Astyanax mexicanus: one gene and its partners. The protein of the gene in region 1 binds, or shares a complex with, the protein of each later gene. Links are inferred from orthologs where the notes say so. Each region holds a gene or a part of one and is shown in the gene's direction. Other genes may lie near its edges. The genes, in order: piga, zgc:162634 and pigh.

Region 1 (7,431 bases):
ATATATATATATATATATATATATACATACATACAGTATTAAAAGATTACAGTCTGACTTTTCTCTTTATTTTTCAGAGATCCGGCTGCGGAAACTGGTGGATGAACGCGAGAGTTTAATAGAACAAGTAAGAAAACAACATTTTTAATACTTCTACATAAGTATTTTATTAAACCCCAGTATTTATACTTCTATCTACAGAGTAACGTATGGAGATATACTTTTCACACCTCTGTATGTATTTATTATCATAATATAACTATTTGTCCACAAAAATATATAACTTTGTTTAATTGAAAGACCTTGCAGACTGAATTATGGGGTGGATCTCAGATGGTTTGGGATTGTGTTTCTGTTACTGAGTTGATTATCCAAATATCATTACAATGTAAAAAGAGTTTATTTCTGGTAATTTTGAAGTATTTCTATTGGTCCGTTCATCAAGAAATTTTGGCACAGTGTAAAGGGCTGTTTCTCTGTTCAAATTATGTAGTAAACTAAAAAAATGGACAAAAATGAAGATTATTCTTATTATTGGACAGCGACGATATGTAGTTTATAGCATAACAATGAATTAAAGAACAAGTAGTAATAATAAAAATAATATTAATAGTGGTAAAAATGTCTTTTTGTTCAGGTGAAGAGACTTAAAGGACAACTTGAACAGAAAAAAATGGTGCTGGACACAGAGGATGTCTCCAGGCTCGAGGGAGAGACGATGGAAAACGGCACAGACAATAACGTCATGGATTTACAAAGTATTTAAACTTGTAAATTAACACTGTAAAGGCTTTTTGTTATCTATACATTGATCATTGATAAGTTATCATTAATGAATTGTGTTCTTTTGCAGGAGAAGCCAACAGGCAGATCACTGATCTGAAATTTAAGCTAGTGAAGTCTGAACAGGAAGTCACAGCTCTGGAACAGAATGTAAGAACTTCCTCTCAATTTTCTCAATGTTTATTTGTGCTAAAGCGCTTAAATAGAGTTAAATGTTAAAATCTCTCTAAAATCTCTAATATCAGGCCACAAGACTGGAAGGACAGGTCTCTCGATACAAATCTGCAGCAGAGAACGCAGAGAAAGTGGAGGACGAGCTTAAAGCTGAGAAACGCAAACTGCAGAGAGAGGTATGATGGAGGATTTTTTTTTTTACTTGAGTATGTTTATTTGTCATGATGGAAATTCCAAATACAAATATTGTATTATCTGTAGAAAATGAGAAATGGCTGAAATAACAAAGAAATAATGAAAAAGATGCAGAGCTTTCAGACCTCAAATAATGCAAAGAAAACAACAAGTTCATATTCATAAAGTTTTAAGAGTTCAGAAATCAATATTTGCTGGAATAACCCTGGTTTTTAATCACAGTTTTTTTTTTCATGCATCTTGGCATCATGTTCTCCTCCACCAGTCTTACACACTGCTTTTGGATAACTTTATGCTGCTTTACTCCTGGTGCAAAAAATTCAAGCAGTTCAGTTTGGTGGTTTGATGGCTTGTGATCATCCATCTTCCTTTTGATTATATTCCAGAGGTTTTTAATTTGGTAAAATCAAAAGTTCTCTCTTGCAGTTATTTTATAAATTATTTCAGTTTGAATTTTGACAGTCTGTACCTAATTTTTGTGGATTTTCTGTTGATTTTGCTGATAAAGACTTTTACTTCTGTAATCTCGTTTGCTTCTGCTTCATTTTTTTATTCTTGAGTTTTGGCACAGTTTTTACGGGTGGGTGGGGCTTAGAAGAAGGCGTTTCCCTTGAATTTTCATTGGTTACCTGATTTTGGACTGACTGGTACCTGAACCCTTGTCTGAGACCTACCAATGAAGATTCAAGGGGAACGCTTTCTTTTAAACTCTGCCCACCTGTGAAAACTGTGCCAAAACTCAGAAACTGAAAACACAAGTACCCTAATGTTACCATAATGGCTGTGCATGCACCAAATACATAATAAAAGAAAAAGCTGAAAATGGCAAAAGAAAAAAAGTCTGGCTGCCTTTCTCTGAATAAATTTCACTCCCATGAGTAGCACTAAATGTATGATTAGAATAGCACTACTGAGGTAAATCTATTCCTAAAATTGCACTGTTGAGGTATGTGTGACTAGATCAGTACTGCTGAAATAAATTCTAATTTCTAAAAGACACTAATATGTTGCTGTACCTTTTTTTGTAAACGACAGCTCCGGTCTGCTCTGGATAAGATTGAGGAGTTGAAGTCGAGTAACAGCCACTTAACCAAACGACTGGAGAAGATGAAGGTGAAATGAGGGGAAATGAGCCTGTAAAAACACCTGACGTTTCACTATTTCCCCAAGTTCTATTACACAATACAGCAATATCAACATGAAGCACAGACATACTGAAAAACTGAACTGTACCATGTGTTTTCTTTATTTTTCTGTGTTCATCTTTGCATTGAAATGGAGATTTAAGGATGAAAGTTGTTTACGTCGGACTTGAGTGTGCATCCTTTTTTTGCACCTGTAGCTCAAAATGTTTAGAAAGTGTTATTTTTATTGGATAAAAACTTGAATTTAACTGTATTGAGTAAAGAGAGAGTGGGTAAAGGTGTGGTTAAGGACGTGGTATTGGGTCGTCTTACATGGTGGAACCTCTGTTGATAATTTGCGTAATTTTAACATTTTCATTTGCAGCAAGAACAGGAAAAGGCAGTGATCATTTCTTCATTTTTTAAGCTTGTTCTGGCTGCTGCGCTTGCACAGATCTCCACTTCCAGTGTGATTCTCCCTGATAGAACTGACGCTAAAGTACTGAAGCTAAAGCTTTAATCTTCTGAGCTTCCTTGTGTGTTTGCCAAATACTGTACCACTCTACCACACTAGTTTATATATGTAGCTATATAAACATATACATATATTAAATGCCCCTGAATGCATGTGGTCTTTGTTTAAGAGACCTGTGCCTTCAGTGCAGGCAATCTGGACACTACTAAAGTTAGTTCTCTACTGTTAAATTAGACAATGTCCTTAAATGTAGGGTACATTTTTTCACAGTGCAGATGTCTGGATTTATGAGTAACTTTTAATGATAAATGACCAGCACAATCCACAATGTCATTAAAAACACATGATCTTGTTAGCACAAATAATTTTTTATCAGGAGACTCCAAAGGCAAACATATGAAAGAACAACTTCTAATGTAAACATATTTGTTACAGTTTATCTGGAAAGAATGTTTGATGTAAAGTAAAAGAGTTATGGCATTCATCATGATCATGATGAGAACAGTATTTATAAATATTTTAACCCTGGTAATGGATGCACCTGAATTCACGGATAAAACGATGAGTCTGGAGATTGAACACGCTGTATTTAAAATGTATTTTTGATATGTTCTCACAGTTCCTGGCTGATCCACTGTATTTAATGCTGCTCTGTGCTTTGAAGAACGAATTACAGTGTATAGATGTAGTTTTATATGAACACTAACCGTGCACAAACTGCTGAAGTAGAAACTCATCTGATATTCTGTTTAAAGGCGTACAGGTTTTAATCGAGGCTTGTTTTCACCCTTTATATGCTGGCGAGACACTGCTCAACACTGTTTACAGAGTTTAAATATACTGTAAAGGGGAATTGTAAACTTTGTGCAATAAAATGTTTACCAATGCTGAACTCTCAAATGTCTCCTACTTTTTTTAAATTTTAGATTTTATTTTACTACCTAGCTAACTCATTTACTGAAGACATACAGGTAAGTTTTCTTTGCGTTTTTAGGGAAATACCTCATATATTCTATTAAAGGAATATACTAAACAAGTCGGTAGGTAACTTTCTTCATTTTTAAGATGACATTTTATTATAATTTAAATTTTATGACATCCACGAGCCTTTTAATTACGGAGGACCTTTATTATGACATACGAGAGCTGGAGCCCGGTCTCGCGCCGTACCCTCCTCCTGGCGTGTAGCGTGGCCGCCATATTGGAGGAGTCAACCACGCGACCCAGTGCATTAATTTACACTGAGGAAGGTGTTTAATACAACTATAATAATCGCAACTCTGTATACATGTGATATGGCATATTAACAAGTGTATAAATAATTAATTTTATATTTATATATACGTATATACACACATTAACTATATAAAACGTGTTTCTTCATTAAAATATTAAATGAATTCGTTTATACAGCGTCCTGTATCATTGCTACATCTCTGCTGTTTGTAACAAATCAAACCGTGTGGAAATCGGGAAAAACACTTTCCTTAGTGAGAAAATTATTTTTCTGGGGCGCATGAATGACCCATCCAATATGGCGGCCAATCAACGCGTGGTCTTTGTATATGATGTCTATGGGCAGTGGTAGCTCAGTGCGGTCGGTAGGTGGCGGTGTGCAGTTTTGTGCTGCTGGAGACCGGCAGCAGTCGAAGAAGACTGTGTACTGGCTCAGTAGCAGATGTGCTAACTCAAGAGTTCTGTGATTTATAACAGAAATATGTAGTTATTTCAGTCTGTCTCTTAATAAAACAGGTAGATATGAAGCTGTACTTTATTAAACTTTCACACAGAGGCTGTGATATCAACTGTTTAGCTGCCGGAGTCTGACTGCAGGTATTTATATTATACATATCATAGCCATCGAGCTGTTAGCTCAACACAGCTAACTCTAACTTACTCTGTAAATCTTAATATTAACCTATTGATTAAACTATAAAACTCACTCTTTACATACATTTTAATTTATAATATTCTTTTCACCCGGAGTTCAGTTGTATGAATATGAATATAATAGTTATTCCTGTTTGATTTGGGGGGTTAAGTAAAGCTATATTACAGAAACAGGAAATCTGACTGACAGGATTAACTCTATATGGATTTACAATAAACAGGTATTTCATCTTCTGATTCAAAATTACTGTTATATAAATGATATAATATATTACAAACTGATTTTTTGCACAAGTGACATAAAGTTCTCCAAAAGCAGTGTGTAAGACTGGTGGAGGAGAATATGCTAAAAAGCTAAAGTTAAATGAATAAGTCTAAACGACTATGCAATATTTACAGCCTATAGCGTTTTTTAAGTAAACTTTTATATTATGTTAAAAAATCTTATCATTCTGGTATTGGTGAATAATATATAAAAAAAAATATAAATATCATAGGTGTAGAAACAAAGAGATGGCCATAATGTTATATTTGATCGGTGTATCTAGTTTAGTAGTGTAGTAACAGGATGCAATTAGTATATATTTTTAAAACATTCAAGAAATGTAGTCAACACAACTGTGCTTTTTTAAATGACATTTAAGCATGTTAAAGTATATAGTTATGTATTCTTAAATGCAAATATTTCCAATTTTTCAAAGTATTGCAATTTGTAATACTATATTTTTCACTGTCACACAAAAGCCACGTTTGACATTGCTACCGGATTAAAGTCAGATTTACTATGTATATATTTTTGCAAAGGATATCATGAGTATCAATTACTCTCAATTACTATCCAATTAATATCCAGTGTTCTGAACTACAGATTGAGTAGAGAAAATTAAATGAGTAAATGACAGTACATATTTTAATATTTAATTATTAGAGGTGTATAAAACAATTGATATATTGAAATATTGAGATTTTTTTTACTCATTAGATCCCACTGTTTTTATTGGACTAAAAAAATAAACTTTTTTTTTTTTTTAGATTTTATAAATATAATAGGTCGTTTTTTGAACTACGATGCATTAAATAAATGTATTTAATCAATCACAGTGTATCGCCTTGCTTAAATTATCGCCATTTTTTTTTTTTTGTAGGTCTAAACTGGATGTGAACATGAAGTCAAGAAGAAGAAGAGGAGATAAACAGGCGGCTGCTTCCTGCCAGCCTGACGCTCATCCTCCCGCCCCACACAGTCCTGCCAGTCTGCTGCCCTCCGGCACGGCCAGACGTTCCTCCCAGAAGAAGCACAGTATCTGTATGGTGTCTGACTTCTTCTACCCCAACATGGGCGGAGTCGAGAGCCACATCTACCAGCTCTCACAGTGTCTCTTAGAGAGGGGGCACAAGGTGGTGATCGCTACGCATGCGTACGGAGACCGGCGTGGAGTTCGCTACCTCACCAACGGCCTGAAGGTCTATTACCTCCCACTGCAGGTGTGTGGCTGAGCTTCAGTGAAGCTGAGGACATATTAGTATTTATATTGTACAATATATATATATAATATATGTCACCCACTCTAAAGAATGCATCCTGATACTTTAAATTGCACCTATTTTTGACAGAGATGTACAAACTCACAGTTTATCTAATCCCTTTAGTAGTGAAGCATTGCCAATTAAATACGACTCTTCTAGACAAATATAATGCTATTATCACTATTCCTTATTTCAGGTAAGGGGTAGAGGGGTATAAAACCTCCCATATTAATTTGATTTTTTGAAAGGAGAAATGAATAAGCAGGTATTTAATGAAGTGAATTTTGTGCCAAAAGTTTAATGCAAAAAAAAAGAATATAGCAAATATATATTTTTAAATATAGTTGCTGCTAAAATATACTGCTGCTAAAGACTTTTTATCCTGGAATCTCTCTTTTGCTTCTGCTTCATTTTCTGCATTTCTTTTTTTTAGATTAGGCACAGTTTTCACGGGTGGGCGGGGCTTAGAAGAAGGCGTTACCCTTGAATCTCCATTGGTCATCTGATTTTGGACTCTATACCCTAGTCTGAGACCAACCAATGGAGATTCAAGGGTAAAATCCGCAGAAAATCCACAAAAACATAAAAAATAAGAGCAAAGACTGGCAAAATCCAAACTTAAATATAAGTGAAAATAAGTGCAAAGAATAATTAAGTAACCAAGTATATTTAAAAAAATATATATTTGCTAATTTTTTTTATTTTTTGAATTTGCAACATACACTTTTTTTTCTTTTTTCTTTTGATTCTCAAATTTTTATTGCGAATTTAATTTTTTGCGTAAAACGTTTGACACTAAATTCACTCCATAGTTGTTGTTTTTTTTTTTTTGTCTTTTGGCCATATATAGTGTGTGTAAGAAATGTGTGTGAATATGTTAAGGTGAATTTATTTTCTTTTAAGGATAAAAAAAAACCCTAAAATGAAAGTGACTGTCCTCTGTTTCTCTCTTTTCTGTAGGTGATGTATAACCAGTCCACAGCCACCTCCTGCTTCCACAGCTTACCTCTGCTCAGGTGTGTGTTCGTACGCGAGCACATCACTGTGGTACACGCCCACAGCTCCTTCTCGGCCATGGCCCATGATGCTTTGTTCCACGCCAAGACCATGGGCCTCAACACGGTGTTCACTGATCACTCGCTCTTCGGGTTCGCTGATCTGAGCTCAGTGCTAACCAACAAACTGCTGACTGTAACGCTGTGTGACACCAATCACATCGTGTGTGTGTCGTACACCAGTAAAGAGAACACTGTTCTGAGAGCT
Region 2 (5,212 bases), on another chromosome or scaffold:
CTCACTATTTAGGTAATCTAAACCTATTTAATATTATGTTCAGTTATCTTTTACTATAGGCATCACATATTTTTAAGAAAATGTTACTGTAAGATGGTACTGAGTTGTGAAAGTAGATCTGTGCTGAGCTGTGAAATAGTAAATGTGGGTCATGTCTGACCAATATGTGTAAAACTGATGTAGAAATACAAAAGCTTCTTCATAAAATAAAAAAGAAAAGAAAAAGAAAATTTGTGCTAAAGAAACACTCAGCTATACATGAAGTTCCATAAAAAATTGAAGGTGGGTAATTTTTGACCCATGTGGGCATTAGAGGGGTAGTGATATCAAAAGGGCTTTTATTCAAAAAGTAAGTAAGGAAAAAATAAAAGAAGTATGTACTATGATGACTGATTTCAATAAATTATTTTTTTTCTATTGTACATGCTTTGCAGACTACTTGTGTGCATGTGTAAATTGTTTTACAGTTATGTGTCGGAATGAAATATTTCAATGATAAACTTATAATGCAATTTCTATTAAATTTTTAAGTTATCAAAACGTCATGCGTCATGATTCAGTAAAGTGCAATTATAACAGATTTCTTATATTCAGATGGTCACTGAAAAACAATACTACCAGTTTTGTAACAGGCAAGAATTTAAATATGGCACACACGCGCATGAAATAATGTTATATAGAGGTGGGAAATAAGCATAAATTTCAACAGACTGATAATGTGGAGTAAAAACAACTAGAAATATGTAGTACAGGCAATTTATTCTACTTCAAAATTGTATTAAATGCCAAGTTCAGAGGGTCATAATAAAAATGGTACAGTAATATACATTGTTGTTTAGGCTATTCACAGTATAGTAGTGCTGGGCGATATAACGATATCGATTTGTTTCGCGATAATTTTTCCCTCGATGACGATGATAAGCCTGTGCAATAGAATTCGATAAACATTCATTTCCATTTCCGTCTAAGTGGCGCGGCAAACAACGAAAACACAACGTGTAATCAATCCAGAAGACGCTGGAGCAAATTAATAAATAGTTAAGAAAATTGTAATAGTTATTCTCATGCATGCAACAAAAAACCCTAAAGAATAGTGGAGTATGGCCCGACACACGCAAACAACCATAGTGTTTGGACTTTGGGAATAAACGGCCGCACTGTTCAGCACGTTTTAAATAAATTTTAAGTAAATTTTAAGCACTAAATGTAATTAATTCAATTTATATTAGGACCTCGGGGCAGGTGCTGCAAAAATGTGTATGTGGGGCGCGGATTAAAGGAAGAGGTTTTTTTGCGGAGCGGTAACAGGACAAAAACACCTTAAGAATGATGTCTAAATGACTTTCCTCTAATCTAATATAATTTAACATGGTTTAAGGATATAAAATAATTTCTAAACAAACGAACTTTTTAATATTGAGCTTATGGCCCAAGTGCAAAAACACAAAATCATTTATCATTTAGATTATCTGCCTGAACGCGAGCCCGAACCCGAGCTTGAACGCCAGCCTGACTCAGGCGCTGCATGAACTCGGGCCGGTCGAGAACACCGCTTTCCTCTCAGATTAGGCGGAAGAAAATGGTCTTTTTTTTAATGTAACAAATCACACTGTGATTTTTGTGATATTTCCCCAATTACAGCTCAGCTGCGCGTTTAAAGCTCAACGCATGAATTAATCGGTGCGCTGTGCGCCGCGCGTGCTCGCGGGGGATTTGACGCGTCTGTCAAGCAAGTTAATGGACCGTTTTGGGGGCAGAGATTAAGAAGTACAGCAGGTACATCTCAGATTTGTAGTTTAATGCTCTACTAAATTACTGGCTTTAAAACTGGCTCATGATATGGTCGGTTCTGGCTGGATTTTTTCCTGCCTACAGGCTGCATTTGACGGAAAGCAGCTCCTCAGTCAGACAACAGTGTCAGCATACAAATCGTGTGCGTTTCCTACAGGACAAACCATTTAAAAGTGCAGATAAACTCATTAAAAAATCACACAGTGTCTGTCTGGCTTAAAATACTTTTAATAAGGTACAGCTTTTAAATTAATAAATCAACATTCATTAAAAATCCGTGAGAAGTTCTGTATGCTAAATGACAAGCTAAGCTAATAAGCTAATAACATTTAATAATAACAGAAAAATAGATATGAATTTGGAAAATAACCAACTAAAGTGAGCTCAAAATACAATAATAAATATAATCTAACGAATTTCAAAATATAAATTAGAAATATTGAACTTCAATATTAAATTCAACTTCAACTACAAAAAACGCAAGGACCGATAGAACATAACGAACAGAAAAAAATAAATTTGAAATTGGAAAAAAAGTTCAAAATGCTAAAAGAAATAAAACCTAACGAATTTCAGAATATAAAATCTAAATATTGCACTGCAGCAGTACAAAAGCCTAAGTGCTTAAACAAACAAACCAAAAAACAGCCTATCACAAATCATTTTTTGAGCCCGACCCAGCTGAGGAAAAGGTGGGAAATCTTTTTTTTTCCGGCTGGGTCTTGGAAAACTTTGTGGTGAATTAAAGGGGCCGAGTTGCAATTTTTGTTTTACTTTAATCAGTTTTTAATCCGTCTTTTTAAAAACAAATATTCCAATATTGGCTGCCAATCAGTGCCCAATATTCTGAGCTCAAAAAACGCTATTCGGGCCAGCCCTACTAATCTAATATAATTTAACATGGTTTAAGAATATAAAATAATTTCTAAACAAACGAAATATTTAATATTGAGCTTATAGCCCAAGTTTTTTTTTCAGTCATGGAAAATTGGAAAAAATTGGAAAAAAGCCCGAGTTCATGCAGCGCCTGAGTCAGGCTGACGTTCAAGCTCGGGTTCTGGCTCGCGTTCATGATTAATTTGTTTTTTTTAAAAACTAATATTGGAATATTCGCTACCAATTACTGCCAAATATCCGGAGCTCAAAAAATGCTATTCGGGCCAGCCCTAATAATTATGGAGATACAGAAAAAAATATTGTGATAAAACTTCCATCACTCCCTTATTCTCTCACTAATAAAAACAAACCTTTAAGTGTGACACAAAGTGATTTGATTTATATCGTGATACATATCGATATCGACTGATATGGAAAACTATATCGTGATAAGATTTTTTCCCATATCGCCCAGCTCTACAGTATAGTAGTTCTATTTTCATAATTTGGTGTCAACTTCAATAGACTCTGATAATCTGGAGTTAAGGCAGATAGATATATGCAGAACAGGCAATTTATTGTCCTTTAATCTTCTCAAATGCCAAGATTAAAGGGTCATAATAAACAAATATTGTACAGTAATATGTCTACTTCTTTAAGCTTTTCACTGTATACTAGTTTTATTTTCATAATTTGGTGTCAAATTCAATAGATTCTTTGATAATCTGGAGTTAGGGCAGCTACAAATATGCAGAACAGGCAATTTATTGTCCTTTAATCTTCACAAATGCCAAGTTCAGAGGGTCATAATAAATAATGGTACAGTAATATTTCTAGTTCTTTAGGCTTTTCACAGTATACTAGTTCATTTACATTCAAACATAAATGCAGAACAGGCTATTTATTCTAATTTATGAGCCCAATCTTGCTCTCTACTGACGAATCATTGGCATTTCGACTTTTTAAGGTGGACCGGAAAATCCGAATAAGACACTGGCAAATAAGACGCTAACTCCGTCCTCGTGTACTACTGTTGCATACTACCTACTACTGCTGCACTGCTGCTGTACTACTACTGCTGTACTACTACTGCTGTACTACTACTACTTTATGTTTGATTATACCGCATTATACAAGACACATGAGACCTATTCAATGAATTCAGGCGATCTTCCTTTCAGTCAATTTGGAACAAACCTGATCCAGGTACCTACGTCCTAAAGACTGCTGAACTGTCTGGTTAAGGTGTATTAAGAAATTAGAAATGGAGAAAAATCACTATTACAGTTATTCTTTTTATTGTTCTCTGCAACTGTATTACATTGTAGAATTCTTGCATAGTGTAATGTTTTATTATTTTTAATAAAAGTATTTATTATAAACAATTGTTTTCATTTTTCTTTTTTAGGTACAACAAAGAAACAAATGAATTAATCAATGAAGAGCTTGGCATTGCCTATCCTATTATTGATGGTATTCCTAACATGATTCCTCAAGATGCAAAGCTGATCAAGAAGGCTGAGGGAATTGAAGAGCCCACCCAGTCATAGGTGGAACTACAGCATAAGCCGAGTGCAGTTGTTTATTATATTACATTTGCAGTAAACATCTAAGCCATAATGCTATTTTCTCTGTCAACTGTCACTGTGATAGTACCAATTTTGTCCTTAATTGGACTAATGTATTCTGCAAGTGTGGATGAAAATTTCCCCCAGGGCTGTACCGGCTCAAACAGTGTGTGTTTCTATAGTCTCTTGTTGCCGGTCACTATTCCTGTGTACGTGTTCTTTCATCTGTGGAAATGGATGGGAATCAAGCTGTTTAGACACAATTAGAATGTTTGTTTAATCAGAAGGGTAAATAAAATTCTATGCAGACATAAGTGATTTAAATTTGTATTTTTAAGAACGTTAAAACTTTGTGTTTGTGATTGACTAGATGGGTTACAAAATAAATAAACATATGACTATATTTTACCACTATTCATTGTATTAATCCCAATTCATTTATTTCAGATGTTTGTAACGGTTTAATTCAGCCCGTGCCTAGACACACAAACACGCTATATAACAGAAATAACCGCCTGTTCTTTTATTGTTTCTTCCATAATCAATGGTGTTAAACGTTTTTATAATTATTATTATTTTTAAGAGGAACTGGCTCAACTATCCATGAAGGTCTTTGTACTAAAGTTTGAAGCATTACTATAGGTGTTTATTTGCAATTCAGTAATATGCAATAGTGAGGTCAGAATGTTGAATGATTAACACATCACTTAATCCCAAAAATGTAGCATTACATATAGACAAATTCTTGTATGTGCCCTAAATATTTTGCTCAAATATTTATTAAACCTGTGTGATGCTGATAAATGTTTAAAGTTACCCTGCAATAATGATTTTTTTAATATAATTGCACCCCTAAAATATACATGCAAAAGCTATTTATCTGAGCAGTAAACACATCGAAAGTACAAAGCACTCCTTGAAAAAAATCAATGCCTGATATAACAAATGCTTCATTTAATGAAACCTCCATGTCCATA
Region 3 (7,747 bases), on another chromosome or scaffold:
TCCTTTTATATGTTATCCTAAGAAAGACGCCTGTGATTCGTACCATGTGTAAATGAGACAGCATTTTTACCTGCAGAGCCTTGTAGATGACACTTGCAGAACGTGGAGAGCGTGTGGTGGTGTTGTCCAGCTGCGACTCCACGCTACGCAGCAGGCCATTGAAATCAGTGGGAGGGTTATAGGTGCGTGTGCCTCGATACTGAATAGAGCTGAAAGCCTCTGGGAAGAGCCCAAGCTTTCTGAAACGCTCCTGGAGAAGGCGCTCGGCAGACTCAGAAGGCTTATCTGCAGACCATTAAAAAGCATGGATTAGTGCTGGACAGTACTTAAATGATTTCAAATCGAGATATTTAAAAGGTCCAGAACACTGACCTGAGCCTAGCAACTTGGTATGGACGGTCTCGTGAAAAATGATAACAGCAGGGCCCAAAGTGGAAAGCGGCACATCCAGACCACAGCGGGCAGTGGTGGCTTTCAGCTCCTTTGTAAAATGCTTTAAATAAGCATCTGAAGCATCGCCCAGAAACTTAAACAGATCATCGTGAAGACGGTCGGCGTGTGTGCGGTAAATGACCAGGTCTGACACGGCCAGCACCTTCAACAGGAGACGGGTCCGCTGGCCCTGGTTTGATCCTGCTCCCAGGAGTCCCTCTGTGTCGACGACCACCACCTTATGAAGTGGGTCAAGTGCTGCCCACACTCCAACAGTGCACGACTCCTGCGTGGGGGATGTCTTGAACACTTCACGGCCTTTGAAGAACGTGTGGTTTAGGGTGTGTGATTTGCCTTCCCCAGTATTACCAAAAATGGACACCACCTTCAGCAGTTCATCCGGTACACAGCCCAGTCTCTTCACAAAGTTATCTCCACTCTTTACCTGATCACAGTAGAAGTGCAACATAGTTTACGGTCATCGCTTTTAATATGGTAAGGTGTTGAGTTTTAAAATATACTGAGAAACTAAAATTACTTCATGATATTCCTAAAAAGTAAAATCCATGTAAAAATATTCAAAAACTGTCTGCTTTATAGTTTTGTGGAGTGGATTTATTTCTAATAAACAAAAATAAATTCAGTGTTGACACTTCTTTTTTTTTTACCTCTATATTGCATATTTTCGGCACTGTTTACCAATCGTGGTTCTGAAGTAGCCCTGCACTACACTAAAGCTAAAACCAAGCAAAACTAATGAAGCTAAAACTAATGGAAATCAATGTCATCTATAGTTTTTGATCAATGCCTGCTACCACTGGTTTACCATGGTTCTTCACTGGCATGATTTAAAATATTCATTGGTATCACCTTTAGATCATCCATGATTGACTATGATTGTTCTCTTTTTTTTATTCCTTTAATTCCAAAATACTCAACGAGCAAGACAATTTACAGTAAAAAGGGCCACCCTGAAGTCAATCCTGAGAACCTATGCTTTGATTTCAGTGCACACCAACATAACATGCCTATCTCAATTTTTTTTTCTTTTTTTACTATGGGTTGGCCCCACATATACATGTCAGTGAAGGACCTTATCAGGGTCAGTGATGAGAACAGCAGGAGTAAAACACAAGCCCCATCTGGGTTGCACTGTGAACATAGATGAAAGTAAGGTGTGCTGTAATGATGAGGCACAACTGAGAAATCCAACTGGGTCAAGACAACACAAGACAAGACAACCATAGTGTTCATACTTGTGCTGGAAGCACAGGTGGAATTTGGCCTTCGCCTTTAACCCATTTGTGCAGTGAACACACACACGCATACACACACACCAGTGAATACAAACACCAAGTAACCAGTAATACAGTGAGCTCAATTAGCCAACAGTGGCAGCTTGCCAATCCAGGGTATCAAACCCACAACCTGGTTTTCAATAGCCCACTCAGAGGTCATGCCCACCTCAAACCCACCTAGCCCATATTTCATCAATGAGGGCGCCACATGAGCCTGTTGGCTTGGTGAAATGTACCAAAAAGTACAGCCCTGAAAAAAAAATAAGAGACCACTTCGAAATGATCAGTTTCTCTGATTTTACTATTTATAGGTATATATTTGAGTAAAATGAACAATGTAGTTTTATTTTATTCTATAAATCACTGACAACATTTCTCCCAAGTTACAAATGCAAATATTGCCATTTAGAGCACTTGAAAAAATGAGAAATGGTCAAAAATAATTAAAAAGGTAAAGTGCTTTAAATCCTTAAATAATGCAAAGAAAACAAGTAGATATTCATAAAGTTTTAAGAGTTCAGAAATCAATATTTAGTGGAATTACCCTGATTTTTGATTACAGCTTAATGCATCTTGGTATGCTCTCCACAAGTCTTTCACACTGCTTTTGGCTGACCTTACTCCACTCCTGGTACAAATTCAGGCAGTTCACCTTTGGCTTGTGACCAACTTACATCTTACATGATTACAATTAGAGTTTTTTTTAATGAAAGTTGTGACTAAAACTGTGGGTTATTCTACCCATTGTTGGTTCTAAACTCACCCTAAAATAAAGCTTGCTGTTTGATTGCTGTTGTTCCTAAATGCATATGAACTTGTTTTTCTTTTGTTTGCATTATTTGAGGTCAGAAAGCTCTGCATTTCTTTTTGTTATTTCAGCCATTTCTCATTTTCTGCAAATAAATGCTCTAAATGACAATATTTTTATTCTGAATTTGGGAGAAATGTTGTCCGTAGTTTATAGAATAAAACAACAATGTTTATTTTATTTAAACATATATCTATAAACAGCAAAACCAGAGAAACTGATTCAGAAACTGAAGTGGTCTCTTATTTTTTTTTTCCACAGCTGTATGTGAATCCATCTCATTCCCATACCTGCATATCCTCCTTCTCATCCACCAGCAGGAAGCTGCAGACCTTGTCCAGCTGGGCGTTCACGCGCTGCAGGTCCTCGTCAGCATCAGAGTTCATGTTGGCCTCGGGGGGTTTGCAGGGCGGGTAGGCAGAGAGGGGGTGCTTTCTTTTACTCACGCCGCTGTGAGTGCGCTTCTGGCAGTCCAGGCACAGGTTGATCTTGCAGCCCTGACACCTGACCACGGCCCTGAGGCGAGAGCCGTTGGCAGGACAGCTGCCGTCGCCTTTGCAGGAGTCGCAGAAGGGTACGTGGCCCTGGGAGATCCGGACGCGGTCGTGGTTCCTCATGCGCTCCTGCCGGTGCAGCTCCAGCTCGCAGCGGGCGCACTGCAGGCTGCCGCACTCGTCGCACTCGAAGGCGGCCTCATCCGAGCCGCCGCAGGCGTAGCTCTCCTGGCAGACCAGGGCGCCGTTCACTCCCTGCCCGCTCATCCTGGAGCCACAACTCACTGAATTACAAGCAACTTTAACTTAGCTAACGTTAGCTAACTTGCTCAGACCTCGAAACGCACCTGATGATAATAACCGTTCATTAGAACCATTGAAATTATTGCTTGATCACGAACTCAACCTAACTAGTTATCTGCTTTAAAACCAGTCTGCATAAGAGAAACAATAATAAATAAATACAAAAACACCACACACCCACCACTTAAGGCTATGACACTGACTCCAAACCTTACACGCACTAACCCAACTAAATTAGTTAACTACTAAACTATTGCACCAGTTTAAAAGTTTAAAGCTGCTCTTAAATCCACTTTTAATCACAACCTGAAATAACACCATGTATCCACCACAGATATTTACAGCTAGTTAACTTAACTAGATAAGCTAGCTAAAGTTAGTTACTGAACTTATGACACCGCTGGAACAACGCCCAGATCATTCCATTTGCAAGCTACCTTGGTTAACTTTAGCTAGTTAACTTAACTAAGCTAGTTAACAAATTAACTTGTAGTAAATTAAGTAAGACTCTATCTTTAGAATATTATTAGATAAATCTAACCTAAATTAGGACCATAGATGGATTTTGTTTAAAAATATTTAACTTTTGTAACTAATGACACTCTAGAAATTGATAAATTATCTATCTAGCTAGTTAACCTATCTTTTTTTTTTTTTAGCTAATTGGGTTAACTAAACAAGCTATCACACATACTGGCCTTTAGTATCTTAGGGAACGTTACTGTATATTTAGCTGGCTATTAGCTCCCTAGCTAGCATACTGCCCCGCCACAGTCCCATCTGCTCAAGCGACCATTAGCAGCTAGCTAACTAGCTCAGCTAACTTAATGATAGTCCGTGGTTTAAATAAACAACATCACCAACCTCTCAAAGCCGCTCTCAGCTCTCATATCTAGCTACACCCTGCAATATCACCCTGATAAACGCCACAGGCTACGAGGACGGACGCGGACGGACGTGTTGAGCTTTTGTTCAACAAGCTAGCAGCATTAGCATTTCGTTAACAGGAGGAAAAAGGATACTGCCCTCTAGCTAACACTCAATGACAACAAATAATAGACTTTCTTTAATAAATACACAAATATTAGACAGGCCTGACTGGCTCCGTGCGCCCAGCTGCGTTTAAAACGGTCTGTGAAGCGCGTTTATCCCAAAACAACAACAACAACAGCAGCAGCAGCAGGAGCTCTGGGGTCTGCGGTCAGCAGCCTTCCTGACTTAGCAAAACAGCACAACAAATCTGTATTTCGAGCGAGACAGCGGCGCAGTTTTCACCAGACCGGCCGCAGGAACACACACAGCAGCGCCCGGGCTGTCTCTGGACAGATTTACAGTCTGGACAGGAAGGTCGAGCCGCTTGTTTTGAGAGCAGCTGGTTAGCTGAATAATTCCGCTGGCCGGTTGATTTCGGAGAGTGTTGTTGCCAAGTCACATCAGCTGATCGACTTTGTTTTCAGCCTGAAGGTCGGAGGGGAACGGCTGCTGCAAGGTGAGTAGGGAAATGTAGTGAAAAACCGAGGGAAAAGGCGGCTAACGAAGCTAGTTTGCTAACCCATCTATTTAACCGCTGTTTCTTATCGTCCCTGTTAACGTCTTCTGTTTTTTTTTATGCAGTAACACTGCACTCTTTCAGCAATGCCATGTGTATTAACTATATTAGTGATGCTAAGTGTTTTAATGTATTACATTTTACCGGATGAATAGGATAATCTATGGAAGGTATAGAGACTTATTACATAACTTATTTTTGAAATAACTCGTCATAAATTTTAATTATATTTCTTTTATCATTCTAATTTTACAATAACAACTAGTTAACTTAGTGTCCCCAGCTAGCATAGCCCTGTCAACTCATTTTAATGAGGTGTGGCAATAGGAACAGTGTCTGATGAGTGTTTAATAAGGCAGCTTACATCTGCTCAGTTTATGTATAAGCTAATGGTGTTTTTTTTTGTTATTTTCTTACTAATAGAGTTACTTGAGTTTATGTATTTATTTTATGAGTGTATTCAATCAGGTAATTTGTTACAGTTAAACAGTTAAACCTATACTACTACTACTACTACTACTACTACTACTACTACTACTAATAATAATAATAATAATAATAATAATAATAATAATAAAAAAGAATAAGAAAAATAATAATTATATTAATAAGAAAAATTGTCGACCAAACTTAAGACTGTAAATACATTTTTAATTCCGCAGTGGCATAAAAAAAGAAATCTTGCTTTAACATGTCAGTTTAAACGTGGTAAAACTCAATTTCCCATGATGCACCGTGTTTTTTAAGGTCGCCAGGTTCTGTTCTATCGATGTGAACTGATACTCGCCGAGGCTTCATAGACATTAGTAAATATCTGGTTATATTTGGACTGTCTTTATGTACTGTATTACAGGCTTTAATCAGTATTGAACACACTTCTGTGTTGGTGAGGCGTCTTTCTGACGGGTGTTTCAGCGCTGGTTTGTGACAGCTGAGCTTGTGCTGCTGTCTGCTCCCGTCATGGCTGAAGAAGGACCGTTTACAGACATCAGCGGTAAACCCATCTCGCTGGAGTGTCAGAACTACACTCCTTTCTGCAGAGAGTTCACTGTCAGCTCCCCGAAGGTCTCTCTACTCAAGGTGATGGGGTACACCTGCTCCGTCTGGCTGCTCGCCTACGCCGTGTTCTTCCTCACGGAGGTACGTAAGTTAGCGTAACTTGCTAGGTTAGCTTCGCTAGTTAGCTAACATGACCTAAATACACTGTTGTTTTTTTGCAGTGTTGTACACTGTAAAAATGAAAAGAACAGAACCGTTTAAGTTTTGAAAAAGAAAAAAGAAAGAAAAAGAAAAGAAAAGAAATACTTTTTTTTCATATGCATAAAACTTTAAATATTAATTCTCACCAACTTTGAAGTTTACTTTGTGTTGTTAGTTTGACTCATTTAGGTTCTATGATGTGTTTTGTAAGTTCCGCTGTCTATCCATTAAGGTCACGTTTTACATAAATCAAACTCGCATAATGAGCACTATATTGTTTGTTAATATAAGTTAGCAACTGAGAATTTATGACTATTTTATATCTGTCTTATTGTCAGTCATATAAGTATTGCGGTAATGCAAACAGAACCAGCTGGTACCAGACAGCCTTCAACACTGAGGCCAGGCAGCTACTATTATATAACACATAAGTGAAGACCAAAAGAAGACAGTCTGTGGAGAATGACTGCACACTGATGGTGAGTGAGAGATGGGAGGACACACCCAATATGCAAATAGCATGACCAACATCAGGTGAAAAGCCCCTGCAGAACTGCTCAGTAGACCCTGTTTAACTGAAGAGTAAAACTGAGCAATGTGCAGTAGTGCAGAGTAGTTGGCTTGGCCTCAACTAGGGTTCAACTGCAATTTGTAAAATTTGCCACACAAATGATTTAGTCAGACCAACTTTTAACAAAAAACGTAATAATGTTAGTTGAGGCAACTAGTTTGCTATAGTTTATGGTGCAATTCAATATTTCTTGTTCAGCTGACTTAAAAATCACAGCAAGAAGAACAATTTTGAGTTTGGTTTTTACAGTGTACAGAGAGTACGTACCCTAATGTGACGTAAAAAAATAATAATATAAAAGAGATAATGCGTGGCCACGACTTATTAAAGCATGGGAACGCATTTCCACGCTTTAATAGGTCGGTCACGCATTATTTCCTTTTCTTTTATTATTTTTATTTTTTGCATGATTTCACATTAGGGGCACTGTAGTGTTTTCATGAATAGTTAGTTAGCGTTACCAAGCCTTACATTAGCTACTACTGTGTCAATCAGTAAAGTACTAATAAAATATATGTATGAGTGTATGTATAAAATAGAAAAAGATTAATAGTTAGCACATTTATTGCATGTATATACAAACAAACTGTAAATACACTAGGTGGCAAAATAAATACTAAATAGACTGCTAAATATCACTTTCATCACATATTTTATAATGTAAAAAATGTTTGTGATATTACTGCTAACGATATGATTTGGCGCTCACCTGTAACACCCTCTTCTTTAGTCACATTCTCACATAGGGGTCCGTCCTAAAATGGCAAGAATCCAGCACAGTTCAGTGATTTTGTTGTTGATTAGGGTCAACTCAGTCAATCAGTTATATTGCTGCCAAGCTTATTCCTCATCCCCTGTGCTTGAGTTTCAGTGGGTTAACTGGGTTTCAGGTGAGCACAAGCACAGTCGGTTTAAGATAGGGATGCACTAAAATGCACTAATCTTCTAAACTGTGGATCAAATTAATGTACCTTGAAATAAAAGCTGAAATGTTGAACTTTTGTATCATATTCATCTTTTAAGGTCAAACCCAAATGTTTTCAGTCTTCAACAGAAATAAAGGGATTGGCATCGCTGTTCCAATACTGTTAG

The links.
Region 2: piga (region 1) and zgc:162634 share a complex: the UniProt entries of both Homo sapiens proteins name them as parts of the glycosylphosphatidylinositol-N-acetylglucosaminyltransferase (GPI-GnT) complex. The link is inferred for Astyanax mexicanus from reciprocal best matches to the Homo sapiens genes PIGA and PIGY.
Region 3: piga (region 1) and pigh share a complex: the UniProt entries of both Homo sapiens proteins name them as parts of the glycosylphosphatidylinositol-N-acetylglucosaminyltransferase (GPI-GnT) complex. The link is inferred for Astyanax mexicanus from reciprocal best matches to the Homo sapiens genes PIGA and PIGH.

Annotation. Positions count from the first base shown.
Region 1 is NC_064418.1:1,991,874-1,999,304, forward strand, and holds the start of piga (phosphatidylinositol N-acetylglucosaminyltransferase subunit A), read left to right. Parts: upstream 1-4,383; 5' UTR 4,384-4,584; intron 4,585-5,786; 5' UTR 5,787-5,805; coding exon 5,806-6,126; intron 6,127-7,128; coding exon 7,129-7,431. UniProt on the Homo sapiens protein: Catalytic subunit of the glycosylphosphatidylinositol-N-acetylglucosaminyltransferase (GPI-GnT) complex that catalyzes the transfer of N-acetylglucosamine from UDP-N-acetylglucosamine to phosphatidylinositol and participates in the first step of GPI biosynthesis.
Region 2 is NC_064417.1:17,145,169-17,150,380, forward strand, and holds zgc:162634 (phosphatidylinositol N-acetylglucosaminyltransferase subunit Y), read left to right. Parts: upstream 1-4,136; 5' UTR 4,137-4,286; coding exon 4,287-4,502; 3' UTR 4,503-4,649; downstream 4,650-5,212. UniProt on the Homo sapiens protein: Part of the glycosylphosphatidylinositol-N-acetylglucosaminyltransferase (GPI-GnT) complex that catalyzes the transfer of N-acetylglucosamine from UDP-N-acetylglucosamine to phosphatidylinositol and participates in the first step of GPI biosynthesis.
Region 3 is NC_064408.1:78,401,484-78,409,230, reverse strand, and holds the start of pigh (phosphatidylinositol N-acetylglucosaminyltransferase subunit H), read left to right. Parts: upstream 1-4,712; 5' UTR 4,713-4,824; intron 4,825-5,609; exon of another isoform or gene 5,610-5,737; 5' UTR 5,738-5,844; coding exon 5,845-6,024; intron 6,025-7,747. Other genes in the region: zfyve1 (zinc finger FYVE domain-containing protein 1), read right to left, coding at 71-285, 373-877, 2,829-3,299. UniProt on the Homo sapiens protein: Part of the glycosylphosphatidylinositol-N-acetylglucosaminyltransferase (GPI-GnT) complex that catalyzes the transfer of N-acetylglucosamine from UDP-N-acetylglucosamine to phosphatidylinositol and participates in the first step of GPI biosynthesis.